Linked DNA regions of Coturnix japonica. The protein of the gene in region 4 purifies or fractionates together with the protein of the main gene of each other region. This does not show direct contact. Links are inferred from orthologs where the notes say so. Each region holds a gene or a part of one and is shown on either strand. Other genes may lie near its edges.

What was found.
Region 1: the proteins of LGALS3 (region 4) and ECE1 purify together in Homo sapiens (affinity purification with mass spectrometry; 3 studies listed by BioGRID and IntAct, counting the BioPlex papers as one, with this or other methods). This does not show direct contact. The link is inferred for Coturnix japonica from reciprocal best matches to the Homo sapiens genes LGALS3 and ECE1.
Region 2: the proteins of LGALS3 (region 4) and SLC12A7 purify together in Homo sapiens (affinity purification with mass spectrometry; 3 studies listed by BioGRID and IntAct, counting the BioPlex papers as one, with this or other methods). This does not show direct contact. The link is inferred for Coturnix japonica from reciprocal best matches to the Homo sapiens genes LGALS3 and SLC12A7.
Region 3: the proteins of LGALS3 (region 4) and SLC12A2 purify together in Homo sapiens (affinity purification with mass spectrometry; 3 studies listed by BioGRID and IntAct, counting the BioPlex papers as one, with this or other methods). This does not show direct contact. The link is inferred for Coturnix japonica from reciprocal best matches to the Homo sapiens genes LGALS3 and SLC12A2.
Region 5: the proteins of LGALS3 (region 4) and SLC15A4 purify together in Homo sapiens (affinity purification with mass spectrometry; 3 studies listed by BioGRID and IntAct, counting the BioPlex papers as one, with this or other methods). This does not show direct contact. The link is inferred for Coturnix japonica from reciprocal best matches to the Homo sapiens genes LGALS3 and SLC15A4.

The regions. Positions count from the first base shown.
Region 1 is NC_029536.1:5,760,358-5,763,596, forward strand, and holds part of ECE1 (endothelin-converting enzyme 1), read left to right. Parts: intron 1-225; coding exon 226-350; intron 351-438; coding exon 439-654; intron 655-887; coding exon 888-1,079; intron 1,080-1,582; coding exon 1,583-1,725; intron 1,726-1,798; coding exon 1,799-1,913; intron 1,914-2,116; coding exon 2,117-2,227; intron 2,228-2,399; coding exon 2,400-2,498; intron 2,499-2,580; coding exon 2,581-2,658; intron 2,659-3,031; coding exon 3,032-3,135; intron 3,136-3,239. UniProt on the Homo sapiens protein: Converts big endothelin-1 to endothelin-1.
Region 2 is NC_029517.1:72,929,557-72,933,627, reverse strand, and holds the start of SLC12A7 (solute carrier family 12 member 7), read left to right. Parts: upstream 1-1,264; 5' UTR 1,265-1,400; coding exon 1,401-1,551; intron 1,552-3,239; exon of another isoform or gene 3,240-3,254; coding exon of another isoform or gene 3,255-3,267; intron 3,268-4,071. UniProt on the Homo sapiens protein: Mediates electroneutral potassium-chloride cotransport when activated by cell swelling. May mediate K(+) uptake into Deiters' cells in the cochlea and contribute to K(+) recycling in the inner ear.
Region 3 is NC_029547.1:50,498,808-50,502,321, reverse strand, and holds part of SLC12A2 (solute carrier family 12 member 2), read right to left. Parts: intron 2,925-3,514; coding exon 2,784-2,924; intron 2,093-2,783; coding exon 2,045-2,092; intron 455-2,044; coding exon 332-454; intron 167-331; coding exon 55-166; intron 1-54. UniProt on the Homo sapiens protein: Cation-chloride cotransporter which mediates the electroneutral transport of chloride, potassium and/or sodium ions across the membrane. Plays a vital role in the regulation of ionic balance and cell volume.
Region 4 is NC_029520.1:51,128,933-51,133,246, reverse strand, and holds the start of LGALS3 (galectin-3), read left to right. Parts: upstream 1-1,508; 5' UTR 1,509-1,630; intron 1,631-2,653; 5' UTR 2,654-2,657; coding exon 2,658-2,675; intron 2,676-3,013; coding exon 3,014-3,277; intron 3,278-3,501; coding exon 3,502-3,590; intron 3,591-3,748; coding exon 3,749-3,917; intron 3,918-4,076; coding exon 4,077-4,232; 3' UTR 4,233-4,314. UniProt on the Homo sapiens protein: Galactose-specific lectin which binds IgE. May mediate with the alpha-3, beta-1 integrin the stimulation by CSPG4 of endothelial cells migration.
Region 5 is NC_029530.1:3,153,872-3,157,385, forward strand, and holds part of SLC15A4 (solute carrier family 15 member 4), read left to right. Parts: intron 1-2,727; coding exon 2,728-3,023; intron 3,024-3,514. UniProt on the Homo sapiens protein: Proton-coupled amino-acid transporter that mediates the transmembrane transport of L-histidine and some di- and tripeptides from inside the lysosome to the cytosol, and plays a key role in innate immune response.

The DNA.
Region 1 (3,239 bases), on a different chromosome or scaffold from region 4:
TTTTTCTTTCTTTATCTCTGTCTTACAAAGAACTGGAGCTGCTGGAGAGGGGGCAGGGGCAGGGCTGGGGCTGTGGGATGTCCCAGGGGCACACGGAGTGATCCGTAGCATTCTTTTGGAGCTGTTGTCTAAGCTGAGGCTGAGCACTCGGCAGAGGACCAGGGGCTCTGCAGCCCCCCACCAGTGCTGTGTGCCCCCACAAGCCGCCCTGGGTGTATCTTGCAGAGAACACCACGGCCAATGTGTCGAGCGAGGCAGAGCGCAAGGCACAGCGCTACTACCAGGCCTGCATGAATGAGAGCAAGATCGAGGAGCTGCGCGCTGCCCCGCTGATGGAGCTCATCGCCAAGGTGCGTTCTGCCGTGCGGGCACCAAGAGCTGCCAGCTCCTTGTCACACATCCCCATGGTGCTGTGCCTGACTGAGTGTCTCTCCTCAGCTGGGAGGATGGAACATCACTGGGCCCTGGGCCGGGGGGGACAACTTCAACGTGACTCTGCGGGAGGTGACGGCGCATTACCGCGTCTCACCGTTCTTCTCCGTCTACGTCAGCGCCGACTCCAAGAACTCCAACAGCAATGTCATCCAGGTGGACCAGTCAGGGCTGGGGCTGCCGTCACGGGACTACTACCTGAACAAGACAGAGAATGAGAAGGTCAGGGTGGTGGGGGGGGTTGGAAGAATAGGAATGATTGGGAGAGTTTAGGTTGGTTGGAAGGGTGAGGAGAGCTGGAAGAGTTGGGAGAGCTGGAAGGGTTGGGAGGTGTGGGAGGGTTGGGAGGGCTGGGAGAGTTGGGAGGATTGGAAGGGCTGGAAGGGGTGGGAGGGTTGGGGTTGTTGGGTGCCCTGATCACACTGAGCTATGGGTGACACTTCATCCCCTCACAGGTGCTCGCTGGATACCTGAACTACATGGTGCAGCTGGGCATGTTTCTGGGTGGCACTGATGAGGAGTCAACACGGCAGCAAATGCAGCAGATATTGGAATTTGAGACAGCGCTGGCCAACATCACCATCCCGCAGGAGAAGCACCGGGATGAGGAGGTCATCTACCACAAGATAACAGCTGGAGAGCTGAAGGTAGGAGCGCAGTGGGGCTGCTGTGTTGCTGCAGCCCAGCCTGGAGCAGGGCTGGTGGAGAGGTGATGCAGCTCCCCTAGGGAAGGCCTGACTGGGAAGTACTTGTGCAATAGCTTGGCCTGTTCCCCCACCTCAACCCACTCCTCCCAGACTCCAGAGTGCTGCTGGGACTGGCAGCCATCCCAATGAGGCGCAAACGCCCTCCTGGCTGTGCTGCCCTGCAGACGTCAGCCCAACTACCTCCCCTGGTCCCCAAAGGGCCATCATGTGACTCCCCCCCACCCCACTGTCAGCATTTTCACACCCGCCCAGCTTTCTTTTCCTTTGTGGGAGGAAATTGTTTAGTTCCCTGCAACCTTTGGAGGATGCTGCTGCTATGGGAAATGGTTTCTTCAAAATCAGCTAAATCCATCAAGCAGAGCTGATGTAACAGCCACCAGCTCTGGAAGAGGCTACCATTGCTGATAGCTCTTAAGTCCGTAGCAGCAGCATGGCTTTTGCAGGATCTGGCACCAGCTGTGGACTGGATGCCCTTCCTCTCTACGGTCTTCTATCCTGTGGAACTCAATGAGTCAGAGCCCGTGGTGGTCTATGCCAAGGAGTACCTGGAGCAGGTCTCTGACCTCATCCTGGCCACAGATAAATGGTGAGAGCCCCCCACCTGCATGGAGAGGTGCCTGGTGTACATCCTGCTCCCTGCTCACTGCCTCTTGCCACAGCCTCCTCAACAACTACATGATCTGGAACCTGGTGCGTAAAACCAGCCCCTTCCTCGACCAGCGCTTCCAGGATGCGGAAGAGAAGTTCATGGAAGTGATGTATGGGACGAAGAAGGTGAGTACCGATGCCTCCAAGTAACTGCATTCCTACAAAACAGCATTTTTTAGCAAAGTCCCCATCACATTGCACCCAGATATGGACATGGGGTGGGTTTTGGGGTCATAGCTCTGGTTGGTGATAGTGATCTCATAGTGTGAACACTGGGGAGCTGTAGCCATGCTGTGCTCCCACTCATGTGCCTCCTGTTGCCCTTGCAGACCTGCCTGCCACGCTGGAAGTTCTGCATCAGTGACACGGACAACAACCTGGGCTTTGCCCTGGGGGCCACGTTTGTCAAGGCGACCTTTGCAGAGGACAGCAAGCAGGTGGTGCGTCCCCACTACCCCACAGTCAGCGTGAGGCCCTGATGCTGAGAGAGCTGCCCATTGTGTTATCCCAGTCTTCTTCCCCTCTGTGCAAAGGGTTCTGTGTCAGTCCTTGGACTTATTCGAATGGGAAGCCAGCTCTCCAGGCCAAAACGTGCTGCTTTCTTTTGTCTAGGCAGAGGAAATGATCGCAGAGATTAAAACAGCCTTCGAGGAAAGCCTGGAGAACCTGCAGTGGATGGACGAGGAGACGAGGAAGTCGGCCAAAGAGAAGGTAAGGTGCCGGCAGCAGCAGCAGGGAGACCAGCCCATTCTCCCACCTGGCACCAAATGCACCTCCATCCTTGTCACCCCAGGCGGATGCCATCTACAACATGATAGGCTACCCAAAGTTCATCCTGGACCCTAAGGAGCTGGACAAAGTCTTTAACGATGTGAGTTGCTCTGATAGATGATGTCCCTTGGGTCTCCCCTTCCAGGATGTGCAGGGTGTGTGAGCCCATGGCCACAGCCCCAGGGCTGCCTTGACCCCACATCCAAAGGGTCTCGCTGTGCCCTTGGACCCTCTCTGGAGACTTCCCAGATTGCTGCAGCTGGTTCTGGGATAGCCGGGCCTCTTGGGATCCCTGCCCAGACACTGAGGAGCTGGTTTCCGTAATGGTGATTCATGGTCCTCCTGGAGTTCTGCAGATGTTTGAGGGGAAGAGAAATGAGATTCAGCTGGCTCCAGAGGCTCAGATGTGACCATGCGGGGAGGAGTGGGGCTGGGCCCTCGCTGCGTGCTGCTCACACCTTGCTCTTTTGCAGTACGATGCCGTGTCTGACCTCTACTTTGAGAATGTCATGCAATTTTACAACTTCTCAGCCCGGGTCACAGCTGACCAGCTCCGGAAACCGCCAAACCGGGACCAGTAAGTCCTTGTCATGGTTTTGTCCTCTTCGCTGCTTGGCATGGCCATACTCTGCTTCTCTGTTGTGGTTGGCGGAAGGATCACAGTATCTCCTCACTCGCTGC
Region 2 (4,071 bases), on a different chromosome or scaffold from region 4:
TTACACCTTTTCTTCATCACATGGATCTCCATGTTTACAACAGAAGAAAGCTTCAAAAGAAATCAGTCCCTCTGTTCATTCAAAAGTTGTTTGTTCCAAGGTTTCTCATTTTTTAGCTGTTGACTTTTCATATACATAGAAGTTGTATCAGGTTGAATCAGAACTGAACACTGCAATCCTAATTTCTCAGCATTCTACCATCTGTGATATAGTTTTTATCATCTTCATTGTACATTAATTTATTTGTTTATATATATTTTTAAATTACATGTCAGTAAAATTAATAATTGTTTCTGGTTTTAGTACTATTAATCTTGATAATCAACTGTTCCATGATGAAGTTAAAGTAAAACGTGCTCCAAAATACCCTTGCCTCTGCAGTAAAATTAATAACACTATTAATCTACTGTCACTAACGAAGGCAGTATTCCAATCACTTTCTGGAGTCCAGAAAAGTACAGGAGAAAGATACTCCTAAGACAAAGTTATTTTTTTCATGCTGCTACACTCTCATTGCTGTAGTTATACCATAGTTTGGATGGGGGCAGATCTACCAAGACCATATGAAATATCCAATTGTCCTGTCTCTTTCCCTCTTCTTTTCTTGCTGACCTGCCATGAGCCCTACTGCCTCCACATCTATGACTTCACTACCATCTTTGATGGCCAGAATTGCTTTCCCCACCTTCTTCTTTGGAGGCCCCTGCTCAATTGCTGTGGTCCCACTGAGGTATGGGACCCTACTCAATTGCTGTGTTAGGTAGGTATACCACTGAGGTATGGGACCCACAGACCTGAGTCCTCTTACAAAAGGCATTAGTATATAACGATGGGATCCTTCTGCTCTGTTAGAGTGCTTTGCTGGGAAAGGAGGAAAGCAAAGAAAAATAGGCTCTGTCTGCTGCTGAGAAGCAACAGTGTGGCAGTCCTAGTGCTGCAGGCACATATATAAGGCAAGATTTGACACAGGAGAAGCAGCTTTTTTTTTTCCATGCCCAATAGCCATAGCTAGAAAGCAAACAAATAAAACTAAATAATCCAGTTTAGCTTTCAAGCACTTAAACAGACACACCCTCCTCAGGCCGCTTTCACAGCGGCACTCAGCTGGACCTATTTACTCCTGCCAGTACCTCGGCGTATCTCGCCTTCCTTTCCCGTGCACGCACTCCCAAGCGGCCCCCGCCTTTTCCATAAGAGCCTCGGCCTAAGCGCTTTCAGTAAAGAAAGGGGGCGGTGGTGGTAGGAGGTGGTGACAGGCACTAAGCCACCACCTCCCGCTGCCTGAGGAAACGGCTCTCACGTGAGGGAGGCGGTAGCGCTGAGCTTACCCTGCCCGCTACCTTGGGAGGGAGGAGGTGCTACTGTGTGCTCCGGGATCGTGTGCGGCTCGGCGGCGCGCTATGCCGACCAACTTCACCGTAGTGCCGGTAGAGGCACAGGGCGGGGAGCGGGACTCGGCGGAGCGGGATGTGTGGCGACAGGAGGAGGAAGAGGACAACAGGGACCGGGGCTCCGGTGAGAGAGGGGAGCAGGGCGGCATCAGGCACTTGGGTGAGGGCAGCGCCGCGTCTCTGCGTTAGAGGGAGCGAGGCTCCCGGTGCCGCTGGGTTGTGTGAAGCGGGCCGAGTCTCTCCCGGGGGGCCCGTGCCGACTGTTAGAGCGGATACGTTTCCTTGCCGTAGAGGGTGGCGTCGGGTCTGCCTACGCAGGTAAGGAAGTTGCGCTTTGGGAGAGGGTGAAAGTCCAATGCAAGAGGTGGCTGAGAGTTTCTATTTCCACGCGCTGCTGCAGCCGCCGCTGGCCGAGACGAGGAAGTACTCCCGGGTCAGCTCGGGAGGGGCGCTGCGAAGCGTGGACCGGCGCTGCGGCCCTCGGAGAGCGGGGAGCGCGATAATCCCTCTGCGTCTGCTCGTGCCTTACCGAGAACAGGAGTAACCAGCGCCGCAGGCAGGAAAGATATGTCTCTTTTTAAAAGTCAAGTCCTGCTAGAGAAAGAGGCAGGAGGGAAAGTTTCTGGTTGTGGAGAAGAGTGTAATTGTACCTGGTTTGTTTCAGGGCCAGCTGTGCGCCTTTACACCAGCATCTATGTCTTATTAGGTGAGGTAGGCTTTTGCTGCCTGGCAGTACTGTGTTAGGAGCCTTGCCTTCTGCTAGGCCTCACCCCTGAAGTTACCAAGGTGAGCAGGAGGGAGCCTGAGGTGAAGCTTTGTAATGTTGTATGCAGGACGCTCTTCAGGGTAGCCTGTTGTGTGTCAGGATGGATATTTGTCTACAAGCAGTGGTGGGTTAAATAAGCTCTTTTCTCACTCAGGCAGTAAGGCTTGTCTGGGGAAGCAATAACTCTTCCTTTGACTGAGAAGCCCTGAACACTTCCTCTTTCCAGAGCATGTTGCAGCAGTAATTCCAAGTATGGTCCCTGAACTGCTGCTAGCAGCATGAAAACTGATTGAATCTTACATGGTATTTTGAACAGTCAAAACATGTTCTGAGTCTAATTTCAGTAAGTCAGACTAACTGCTGTACTCAGATTCATGGGTTGAGGAAATGAGCAGTATGCTTAATGTTTCTTGAGGTATTATATGGATGTGTGTACTGTGTAAAGCTGTAATGCATAAGATTGTTAAATTAATGCTTTGTAATCAAATAGTTATCCTTAGCTCATTCTTGTGAGAATGTTAAAGAATCCTAAATACAAGCTTTGTTAATGTCAGTGGCAGCTAAAAGGTACCGTGATTAAGCCCATCTAAAGGCTTATGCTAAACTGGCAGAAAAACTCAAACAGTGGGAGGAAAACATGCTTCTGTTCTTGGAAGTGAGATGAATGAGTGCTGCAAAAATATATGACAATTACTAGAGCTGTAACAAAGTGGAGGGAGGATACAGTGAAGAGCCGGGATGGGAGTAAGAAAAGAGGTATAATGGAACATTTCTCTTCAGATCACCCATAGTCTATATGCCCTATATGATCTTATTGTTTGGGCTAACTAGAATTTTATCTGTTTTAGTTGAATTATCTGACGTAAAAGATGAGTAATCATTCTGGAACTGACTTGTCTGCTGTAGTGGTTTCTTTTGTGTTTGGTTCTTTTCTGTGTGTTTTTTTTTTTTTTTTTTTTTTTTTTTAATTGTTTTGGAAGGAAGTAGAAACAGCCTGTAAGCCATTGAATCACCAATAAAATATTCCTGGTGGTTTGTTATCGAGATACTTATCAACTATTCTGTGTATTTATTCAGGCGTTCTCTACTGATAACCTATGCAATCACAGAGTAAGTTGAGATTTTCTTACTTCACTCCTTCATAAACATATGAAATTCTGAAGTGTTCTTTTTGCATGATCCCTGTATTTGTGTGAAGAAGGGTGAAGTTTAGGTGAGTGGCTGTTTGGTTGGATTATAGTACTGTCTAAAGTAGGATTTGTGATGAAGAATGAGGGACAAAAGTGTGGAAATTGGTTTATCAATTGAGCAACACAATTGAAGGTTGGAGCCTGGTAACTACAGAGTAGCAGGAGGAATTTGTATGTGCTTGTGTTGCTCAGTGTCACTGTAATTCCATACAAGCAAAGGAAGGGTGGTTAGGAAATAATAACTGGTAAAAGCAGGGAAGAAAGAGGAATGTGTTGTAGTAAATGAAGTTTTTTGAGAGTTTCTGGCTTTTTTCCCCTTATCTTTACACATATCAGTAGTGAATGTCTGTCAGTCAGTTTCAGGGTTTTGACAGGTATATACAAATTTGTTTTTCATTAGCCATTCAACATAACAGAGCATAACTAGCATCCCATGATGTTATTTACCTGGCAACAGCAGCGCCTTATTTACAAAAGAATATGACAAGTAACTCCTACAAAAAGTTCTTAAATTGGAGACCTCCAGTTACCAGGAGTATCAATGACAAACCTGCTTATCTTCAAGTAAGTTATTGCATTCATATTTAAGCATGAATTCTCCTGAAAGACAAGGAAATTGTTGAGGCAGATGATGTGTGTGTATGTATGTATATATATATATAGAGAGAGAGAGAGAGAGTGAAGGGTCAGCTCCTGCACAAAAGTTCAGAACCAGTCTGTAGTT
Region 3 (3,514 bases), on a different chromosome or scaffold from region 4:
GAGTCTAACTTGTTCTTCTAGCATTTGAAATGAAAATTTTGAAGGTAAACTTACGCTCTTCTGTCATGATCAATCCTGTTTATTTTTCCACCAATGAACACTCTTATCTTACACTCTTTCCATTTTTTCTTGGTTGTAATAAGATAAGGAATCAACAGTGTCAAACCTGCATTTTGATCAGAATTTAGGAATGTGTCAGAAAATACAGAAATATAAGAATTTAACAGCAGCATGTATATATACAATCTGAAAAGTATTTATTAAGAATTATTTTCAAATCACTTCACCTTAGTAATTCTTTCCAGCAGTTTTAAAATATAAAGTATATTACCTCCATCATCGAAGAGCCACCAGACATCAATATTGCTTTTGCCCTGTTTCTTCTGAAACTGACTACTAGCATCAAGAAGTCTTTGGTCAGCCACATTTAAAGGAGAAGATGGGGTCCTCCAATCTAGAAAAAGAAAAAAAAATCCCACAAATGTTCATTTTAAAGTGTTTTAGTTAATAATATTAAAATCTTGCATTTGGTTTTTGATATTTTGCATTTTTACTTAAACCATTATTCCCTAAGCTCCAAATTTGAACTGAATGGATAGAAACTGCTACATTTAAGGAGCATGGAAAATCCTAAGATCAGTAGTTAAAATTTAAACCTCTTAATCATTTAGCAGACATTTGATAAAGGATTGCAAGGTCTTGATATACTCATTTGCCTGGACAACTACATTTCATACATATTTCAGGACTTTAAGCAACTTGTTGTTGCTACTTCTTTTATATGAAGTACTTCCCTGAAATTCATGTAGATACTAATTTATGAGGAAATACCAGCTCTTCATAGATTATCCCAAGTTGGAAAGGACTCACAAACCCTGGCTCCACAAACGACCACCCAAACACAAGTGGTCCTTTAGCTGCAGTAGCTCAGGGCTGCGCCCATCACCCTCTGATGCACAACCTTTTCCTGACCCCCAGCTGCCCCTCCTTTCCCTGACACAGCTCTATGCCGCTCCCTCGGGCACTGATATTTCCTCAAATTCTTCTTCCTTCAAGAAGAGAAAAGAAAACTAGTTCTAAACGTCAGAATAACCTGCAAAAGTAATTTTGTGTTTGCTAGGCTCTGAAGCACAAAACAGGTTATTTTCTGCAATGATGTCATTGGACTTACTGAGAAGACAACAACACTGGCTTTTTTCAATTACATTAATACATTATTACATTAATGAAAATATATTTTAAAATAACAATTGAAAAAGACAAAAGACAAATTAACTCCCTCCCCTTAGCTAAGATTCTAGTTTTAACAAGAGCTGGGAGTTATTCTGAAATTTAGAGCATATCTGTACCTGACTTACTAGTATTCTACTTTACTGCTTACTGGGAGTTTCTCCAAACTGCCATCTTGTGGCTTAGGGCGTAATCTCACATTATGCTATTAAAAAACAAGGGTTTCTAGATGTTGAAATTATGAAGCAAACATCAAATAGGACAAGATGCTTTTTAGGTAAGGCCAAAAAAAAAAACCAAACCCCCAAAAAAACAGAACCTCCCCCCCCCCCCCTCCCCCACTAAACCGTGCTTAATTCTCAAAAAAGTCTGAAATAAACTAGGTGAAAATTCACCTCTGAAAATGCTGCTAATCTGAATGAATACTTCACATTATTTCAGATGTTAATCTCACAGATTGGCTACACTATCCTTTGCTTTGCAAACTACTGAACAACTCAAAGCAACAAATACAGATTTAGAAGATGACTGAATAGACCAACTAGGCACTTCCACTACATAATTAATACATCTACTGTACCCAAATCAAGTTGACTCCGACAAATACCTAAGACATGAATAACTTAGGAGGCTCCTGAGCACACCTAATCCCCACAGATGAAGCAAGTTTCAAAGCAAATATGAAGAAACAAATTGAGCTTGCAAAGCTGATATTTTTCTGTCTTTCAAATATACGTGTAGGATGGAGTACAAAAGGAAAACTGAAATTAACAACGTGAAAGTATGATTTAACAAAAAGGTGAAAAATGCCTGCCTTTTTTCAACAGGGGTTGTGTTGGAGTCTTTCCATCCTCGTCCTCCTCTGGAGATTTTTAAAGATACAAAATAAAAAGGTTAATATCCTCTGTGATGTTAATGAAAACAGTACAAGTGTATAAAAAAAAAACAAAGGAAAAGAAAAGAAAAATGAAAATGAAATGGATTTTCATACAAAGAAAACCACACGAGTTTGGTCTACCATGTTCTGAGAATAATTTGTATTTGAACACAATAGTAACTTAATCATATTTCTCAATAGTTAAGTCAGCCCAAAGTTTTACTTGCAAAAGAAGAAGAAAGTTGGTTATTGTCATGTCAAGTATCCCAGATGATTTGTGTTAGTTAACATGCAGATAGAAATATACTCAAGCCTGAGGTGAAAACCACCATCATGAATTAACCAGCCTTAATCATGCTGCTAACAAACAGCTGTGAGGCCCAATTCCCAAGCAATTTTTATTGGCATTCAATCTCATTAACTAAGAAACAAAAAAAGGTAGTGCTGGCCTTAGGCCATCATCATTTTTATTTAGGTCATAAAAATATGATATACATACTTGTAAGCAAAATATTTGAGCTATTAGATATCAGCACCCCAAAAAGAATGACAGTTTCTCTGTTTCACAAATACAACAAAAACATCAGAAGGAGAGAGGGACTGAAGAGGAAACAAGAGAAAGAATGAGAACTCAAATTTCACTGCTAACTAGCAGTTAGCTACTTTAGCTAGTTACCTCTATGTGGAGCAGGAGTTCTCTCACTAGACGATGGCACAAAAGCTACAGAAGTGTCTGTTTCAGCCTTCTTGCTATAATCCACCTTCACTATCACATCCTTGGAACATGGAGATTTTTCTTGGGATGACAGTAACTCTTCTTTGGGAAAGCAAAGAAATGCATTATAAACCACTGACTTGTCCCAAATAGTATAAGATGGAGGTCTGTGACTATAATTAGATGGTTTTCATTTAGCTAAACAGCTCAATCCCACTGCCCCTATCATGCTATGGCAAAGGGGGAAAATAACAAAAATAAACCTCTACCACAAATGAACAGCTTCTGAGTACAAAAAAATGCACCTGCTCTGAACAGAGCTTTAATCTCCTTCTACTTCCAAAATTTTAAGCTTTGAATACATTACTGAAGGCTAAATATCAAGCAGAGCTACCAAACACTGAATTAGGACAAATGTCATGTTTGTGCTCATTACCATTAACATGATGTGTAGCAATGTAATGACAGGACCTCTAGCTTAAATAGAATTTGAAAGTGGGAGCTAAATATAACTGAGTAGTATAACTGCTAGAAGTATTTCACATTGTGGTTAAGTTTCCCACAAGAGGAAAATCCTCTTAGAAGTACTGGATTTTGGTATCTGTTACCAGCAAGCACAGAAATCCAGACAGTGTAAACATAATGTTGACAAGATGTGTTAAATCTGAAACACACCACAAAAGCACTGCATT
Region 4 (4,314 bases):
TTATTGCCCAGCAGAAAGGAGCTACAAAGGCAGCAGGTCGGCAATGAGGAGCTTTTGGTCTCTTAGGTGTTAAATGACGGGGTGTGAGAACACGGCTTCCAGTTGTGCTGGAGAGGCTTTGGTTGGCCATGGAGGAGTTTCTTGGTGCAGATGGGCTGGGTCAGGCACTGGGGCGGTGATGGAGCTCCCCATCCCTGGAGGTGCAGGGAGGTGGGGTTCACTGCTAGAGCTGATGGTTGGACTCAATGACCTCGAAGGTTTTTGCCAGCCTGGATGGTTTGCAGTTTTATGGGCTCACTAAAATCCAAACAGCCCTATAAAATAGATGGGAATCATTCATTTCCAGTCAGCAGTTTCTGGGTTTGATGTGATTTAAGCCCATGTAAATAACTCTCCCATTCAGGTGGGGACTTTTGCCTCTGGGGGAATTCAGTGTCCTCAGGGATGACAGAAACACACAGAATCACAGAATGGGTTGTAAAGGCCCATAATGTCCATCCAGCTCCAACCCTGCTGTGTGCAGGTACCAACCAGCAGCCCAGGCTGCCCAGAGCCACATCCCCCACTTGGTTTTATGCACTTCTTCATCTTCAACGACCTCTTTGCCCTCTCCTCCCTTTCCCAACCTGAGCTGTGCAGCCCATTGACCCAGCTGGCAGCCGCACAGCAAACATCGCTACGAGGCAATCACGCCAAATCCCCTCAATAAACGGAGTTTAACAGGCTGAAGCTCCGTGGATGATTGCAGGGCAGCCTATCAAGGGCCGTTCCTAGAGGGAAATGCGGAGTGCTGGGCGCTGCTTTAAGGTGCGGCGGTGCCGGGATGTCCTGGGAAAGCAGCGCCGGGGGCGGGGGGAGCACACAGGGCTCAGCTGCACTGCTCAGCTCTGGTTTGATTCGGGATTGATCAAAGGATGCGATGGGAGAAACCCGGGGGGGTTGGGAGCAAACTGTGCCCTCACGGTCCGACCCATCAGCCCCGCAGCTCCGTCCTGTGCCCATTCAGGTGAACGAAGGAACGGAGCCACGCTCAGATTCCGTTTCCTGTTTTCAGTTCTGATTTCGTAACACCGTGGCCGTTGTGTAACTGCAGCAGGAGGAGAAAAACAGGAGAACCTCTCGGAAAAGAGCCCCATCCTGGGCTGTGCACCATCAGCCTGCACTGCACAGCACAGCACAGCACTGCATTGCATTGCACAGCACTGCATAGCACTGCACAGCTGCCATGGCTCCATCTGATCAATCACGAGTGAATCCAACCCGCTGTGCTGGTCTCCTGCCCTGGGCCATCGGCTGCCGCTCGTTCTCCGAGTTCTTTCCCAGCCTTGTTGGTTTTATGGCTCTATGATCCCATGACTCACGCCGGGCGCTGTCGGGGTGGGTGATGACCCGCAATGAGCCGGAACCATCGATGCGTCCAAGCCCTCGGTGCTCGATGTGGTGACGTTTCAGACCGCTGGGAGGGGACGCCGCGGGTGTCGTGGTGCTGCGCTGCCCGTGGGGCTGGGCTCTGCTCAATGCTCCGTGCTCTGTGCTCCGCCCCGGGGCCGGGCAGCTCCGGGTGGGGATATTGCCCGGCCCCAACATAGAGCCCGACACCCCGCCTTGGTGCGCGGCCCGACAGCTGCAGGTAGGGGAGTAGGGGAGCTCTGGGACTGCGGGTACCGGGTTGGACGGAGCTGCCACCCCTGGGCAGTTGGGTTGTACGGCTTTGCCCACCATCCTGCACGTTGCTTTGCTTCTGAACCCAAATGGTTTCCCAATGAAGGGTTCTCCCAAAGGCTGAGCCGGGTGTCGACACGGTTTGGACTCGATGATCTTAGATGTCTTTTCCAGCCTTAACCGCTCTATGAATTATAAAGTGGGACTTTCAGGACTCGGGGGGTTCGTTGGCACCTGCCTGGCCGAGCTGGGACAGCCCAACTTGGAGAGGCCCGACCTGCACCATGGGAAGCAGAGGGGTGGGAAAAGCAGAGGGCAAAATCCTGCACGGCAAAGTGGGGGCAGCTGAAAGTCATCGCTGCCAGTTGGTGCCCGAAGGGCTGCTTGAAAGTCACTGCTTCAAGTCACTGCTTGAAGTCCCTGCTTGGAAGTCCCTGCTTGGAAGTCACGCAGGCTCTGCATTGCATTTTGCTGGAGGAAGAGTTTGGTGCTGGGGAAACTCAGCTTGATTTCCGTATTGCTGTAGCAGCCCGGCTGGGTTTACTCAGCCCTTGGTGTTACTCAGCCCTTGGTGTTGCTCAGTGTTGCTTTAGAAGAGAACTTTGCCACTTTCCATTCGGAATTTTCCTTTTTCCCTCCCATTTTTGCCTCTCCCCGTTTATTTCCCCCCCTTCTCTCTTTGCTCATGAATGCACTCTTTGATAGCAGCAATTCAGCCTCAGGCCGCAGCGTTTCTGCACGGCGCAGCTTCGCCTTTTGGGGTGGCTGTAAATCCCATTGCAGCCCACGTGTCCCCATAGGGATGGCACAGGGGGGTCCCCCTATAGGACCCTCCTCTCCCATCCCATCCCAGCTGCAGGCCGGGCTCTTTGGATTTGGAACCATGAGGCACCTCTGGGCCTGGTTATGGTGTAGATGGTGAATCACCACCAGCCGTGTAAGCTGGGAGGGCAATAAAACGACTTCCCATCCTTTGTCTTTTTTGTTATAGGACAATGTCGGACGGTTTCTCTGTGAGTATCGGCTCCTTCCAACACACAGGGCTCTGTGGGGGCACTGCATGGAGGTGGGGACCTGCAGTGGGGAAATCATCACTGCGGGTGTTTGGGAAGTTGGGGATGTGGCACTGAGGGCTGATGCTGATTGTGAAGGTCTTTTCCAACCGTAATGATTTTGTGATTCTATGATTCCACGTTGCTGCCAATCCGTGTAACACCAATCAAGGTGCATTCAAGGACTTTGGGGCTCTCAGCACCAGCACGTGGTGTTGTGCAGGCCATGCAGGCCATGTGCTGGCAGCCCCACTGGATTCTGCTTCTCTTCCCCCTCCTCCTCTCCCCTCCATCCCCAGCTCTCCGATGCTCTGCCTGCTCACAACCCTGGTGCCCCCCCACCCCAGGGCTGGAACCAGCCCCCGGGACCTGGGGCCTTTCCACCGTACCCTGGGTACCCAGGTGCTGGATACCCTGGAGCACCAGGACCGTACCCGGGGGCACCGGGACCACATCATGGACCTCCAGGACATCATGGACCACCAGGACCACATCATGGACCACCAGGACCATACCCTGGAGGACCAGCAGGACCATACTCTGGAACTCCATCCGCTCCACTGGTAACAGCTCTGTCCTATTTCAAGGGTTTCTGGTTCAGCAGTTCCTCATTGAGCTGGGCTGTGGGAGGGACCTGGAGCTGAATGTCCTCAGCAGGTTGCACGAGCAGTCAGTCACATTGCTGTCACATTGCTGTCACGCCAACACCCAGCCCTTGTCTGACAGTCAGTCCTGTGCTGCTCGTTAACCTGCTGTTGTGCTCACACCACATCCCTGTCCTCTGCAGAAAGTCCCCTACGATCTGCCCCTGCCATCAGGCCTGGTGCCTCGGCTGCTCATAACCATCACCGGGACCATCAACCCAAATCCCAACAGGTACAGACGGGCTGCAGCAGTGTTTAGGGGCAGAGTTCGCTTTCTGAATGACATCCAGCTTCTCTGAAATCAAACGTGACACAAAAGAGTCTCTTAAATCCTCCAGCACTGCTCTGTCGTTACCTGAAAAAGCAGCTCTTTGATTGTTGCCTTGGCAGGTTCTCGCTGGATTTCAAGAGGGGCCAAGACATTGCCTTCCACTTCAACCCCCGTTTCAACGAAGACCACAAAAGGGTCATTGTCTGTAACTCAATGATCAACAACAACTGGGGGAAGGAGGAGAGAACAGCTCCTAGGTTCCCATTTGAACCTGGGTCCCCCTTCAAGGTAACAATAAAAGAAGGAAAGAAAAGCTGTTCTTCCCATTTCTCATTGCATTCTTTGTGCTGTCACCATGGGGCAGGTTGCTGTCAGGCTCCTGCAGTGCAGCAAAGGTGACCGGTGCTCCTTGGTTCCATTCTGGCTCACTTGATGTTTCTATTCCAGCTCCAGGTGCTCTGTGAGGGGGATCACTTCAAGGTGGCAGCCAACGATGCTCATCTGCTGCAGTTCAACTTCCGTGAGAAGAGGCTGAACGAGGTGACCAAGCTCTGCATCGCTGGGGACATCACCCTCACCAGCGTCCTGACCTCCATGATTTAATCACTGAGCTGTGCCTTTAACACAAGCCCAGCACTCCTCAGAGAGCTGTGACAGCAGCGCCTTCCTGGGTGATTACTTTGAA
Region 5 (3,514 bases), on a different chromosome or scaffold from region 4:
TGGGATTCTTTAGCATGAGAACTGTGGTGGTAATTGCATCTCATCTGACCATAATCGGTGTAATATAAGTGTTTTGTGTTCAAAATCTTGGCTCTGAGAAGCATTCCTTACTGTTTTGAAATCCAGTGCTGTCTAGGTCCAATTATAACACTCAGCATGCCGTATTGATTTTCTTTCTGCATTTGGATTAGCTACATGTAAAGGATAGTTATCAGATATATCAAGAAAATGACCGTTTGGACAGCAGAAATTTCAAGGCTTAGGCTAAACTTTCTTTTGCAAAAGTTATGTTCGATGTGTTGAGAACAGCAAAACAGTTTTATTTCCCCTTTAGAGGCCCACCTCAGTGCAGGCAGCAAGGGCAGCTGGTCAACGATTGACAATGCAGCTGTGACCAGAACACTTACAGTTACTCATTTTCTGTTATTCTTTGGGTTTGGGGTTTTTTTGTTGTTGTTACCTTCAGCAATCACATTGTGGGCATTAGATATGGCTGTTATTCCTTTGAGCTGGGGCACCTTTGAAATGGTTGTAGTACATTTAGTGCTTTTTAGGCATTGCTGAGGATTTAAAGCTTTTCTGCTGTGATGGGGTCAAAAAGGTTAAATATACCTATTTTGACTTTCAGCATAGGGATATGGGACCAACTTGCAGGACAGGTTTGATCCAGGACACACATCATTCTGGTGCCCCGTGTGTGCATCGCTTTCCTGCTGCAGCTGAAGGGAAGACATTAAGAATATAATGAAGCTGGTGGTGTTGGTACCACAAGGACAGTGCTGCTGTGCACGAGCACCAAGGAAAATAAGCAGAGGGAAGGGCAGATTCTTCTTTCTGCTTGGATGATTGAAAATAATGCAGGCAAGCATAAAGGGAAAAAGAATTCCTGCAATTTTGGGAAAAATGCTTGTCCTTGCTAAATGAAAATGAACTTCAATATGTTTTTCTTCTTGACCATGTATTAAAATGTATCGCCTACAGTATTAGTAACAGAAGAGAGAAACAAATATTTATTGTTCATTCAGTGAACACTTAAGAGAACAAATCTATCTTGTGCTGTCACGGAGTTCAGGTAATAGCCAACAGGGGAAAGCAGGATGTGAACTCTTTTCTTTGGAGGTCTGTGGTATATCTATGTTCTTTTTTGGTGACTATCTCAGAAAGGATCCTGGAGAAGGTCAGGGAAGTTCCAGGGAAGAGCCACAGTCACGGTCAGTGATTTCTGTGCAAGGAACCGTGCAGAAGTCTATAACTTCCTAGAACTACCTCAGAAAAGGTAGCTAAAAGGAGGATATAAGCAATTTATGAAAATGAAAGGGGTAGAAATAGATCAGCGGTGGGATAAATCTCAGCGAGCTCCCTTCTGGAGGTAGGGAACACAAGCAAGGCTAGTATGAGGCAGGTTCAGCATGGATAAATGATGATGTTTGCAGCACGTAATTACATGGTGATCTCTTTGCCACAAGCTGTTATGGATTCTAAGAGCTGACCTGGGTTCAGGGGGCAGGCTGGACAAGTTCAACAGGGGGGAAAATTCAGCTGCAGGTCATTAAGTAGATGGAGGCTATACTTGGTTTGGCAAATTTGTCAGGAGCTCCAACTTGGAGGCTGGGATAATACTTGATAGAAATCCCATGCTGTGCTTTGCCTGTTTTTATATTGTACCAAAGCTTGCTTTCACATCTTTGTTTGTCCTTGTGTAGCCATAAGAAAGGTCATTTGTGAGAGAGGATGGGAAGTCTTTTTCTTTTTTTTTGCAGGAAGTGTAAGAGAACTGAGACTTTATCATGAAGAAATTAAAACCTTTGTCAAAAAGGTTGATAATTCATTACCCAAGTTGGAGCACTTTCTATGATGTAATTCTTTGCTAATACCTTCTGTCACGTGGGATCTGGGAGAAATACCTAGTTTAATATACTGCTACACTTGATGACCCTTTAGATGAAGGAATAGGTACCAAACTAACACTGGAGAAGGGGAATTTCTAAGTTGCAGGCTCTGAGATTGTATTTGACTTGCATACTTCAGTGCCTAGCAATGCTGTGAACCATGCATAGGAATAAGTGCTTTAATATTTCTTTTGTTCAGTTTGCTTAAATGATACAGTAAGGTTTCTGCACCACTGAGAAAGTTGAAGCTATAAATCAGAGCTGGCAACGTTAAAAACGTGTTTCAAGACCTAGTTTGTTTTCTGTATTGCAAACTAAACGCAAATCTTTTCAAGATATGGCAAAATAAGGAAGGGAAACTTGAAATTAGAAGTCATCAACAAGTGACTCAGCAAGCCCAGTGCATGGTACCTAATGGTCAATGCTAATGGCCTTTCAGTCATAAAACGGTGACAAATATGGTGTGATGGAATCTTTTGTAGACAAGTTGATCTTTTTTAATGTATTACACATTTTAACTTGCATAATTTCTCTTACATCACAACTTATGAGTTGCGCTGAGTTCTTGTGACTAAATCACATGGGGCGACTTATGGTAGGCAACAGAGAATAAAGAGTGATGGTAAAAACTGTGCAGGATGATTCTGTAAGGTAGAGATGTCTTATTTATGTTTGAGAAACGCTTCAAGCCGAAAAAGAACACCGTGACCTGGGCTGAATTGATAGAAGGGAAGGTATTTAATGGGGTTTTCACTGCCTGAAATCTCAGGCAATCTGATTTAATAAACACTCTTAATTTCCTTCAGAAATTGAACAACTTGTTTTTAATTTTTTCCAGGTCAAAGATCGAGGTCCAGAAGCCACAAGAAGATTTTTTAATTGGTTTTATTGGAGCATTAATTTGGGAGCTATTCTCTCTCTGGGAGGAATTGCTTACATTCAGCAGAATGTGAGCTTCGTAATTGGATATAGTATCCCAACAGTTTGCATTGGAATTTCATTCATGGTTTTCTTATGTGGTCAGAGTTTCTTCATCACAAAGCCACCTGATGGTAGTGCCTTCACTGACATGTTTAAAATTCTCGCATATTCGTGTTGCTCAAGAAAAAGACATATGGAACATTCAACTAATAGGTTTGTAACAAGCTCTTTGGTATAGTCTGAATTACAGTGAATCAGCTTAAGAACTGAAACTAACTTGCACAGGCTAGCTGGAAGTAAGTCAGGAGAGATTACACTAGAATGTGCAACTTTGCTTGAGAACTGTTGCTGAGAAATTTGGTTCCTGGGGATTGCATTGTGGAATCACTGGGATGAAAGAGAGATGTGTTCTGAGATCATTGAATCTCCATGCTGCAATGTCAAGTCTGCCATTTTCAACTGAGTCACTGAAAGTGTAATATTACCCAACTTTGCTGCTTCTAAACATTAGTGAATGTCTTGAACTGCCTAGATACGTTTATGGGGCACTGCCTGATTTTAAAAACACTACTATCTACATTCAGTCGTTTCTTATGCGGTTTGTTGGGTAGCTGAAATGTATACTGGCTTTTTGCTTTCCAAGTGGTTATTTCACTCTTAAGAGATGACCATGGCATACTGGTGGCTGAATTAGGTCACTGATG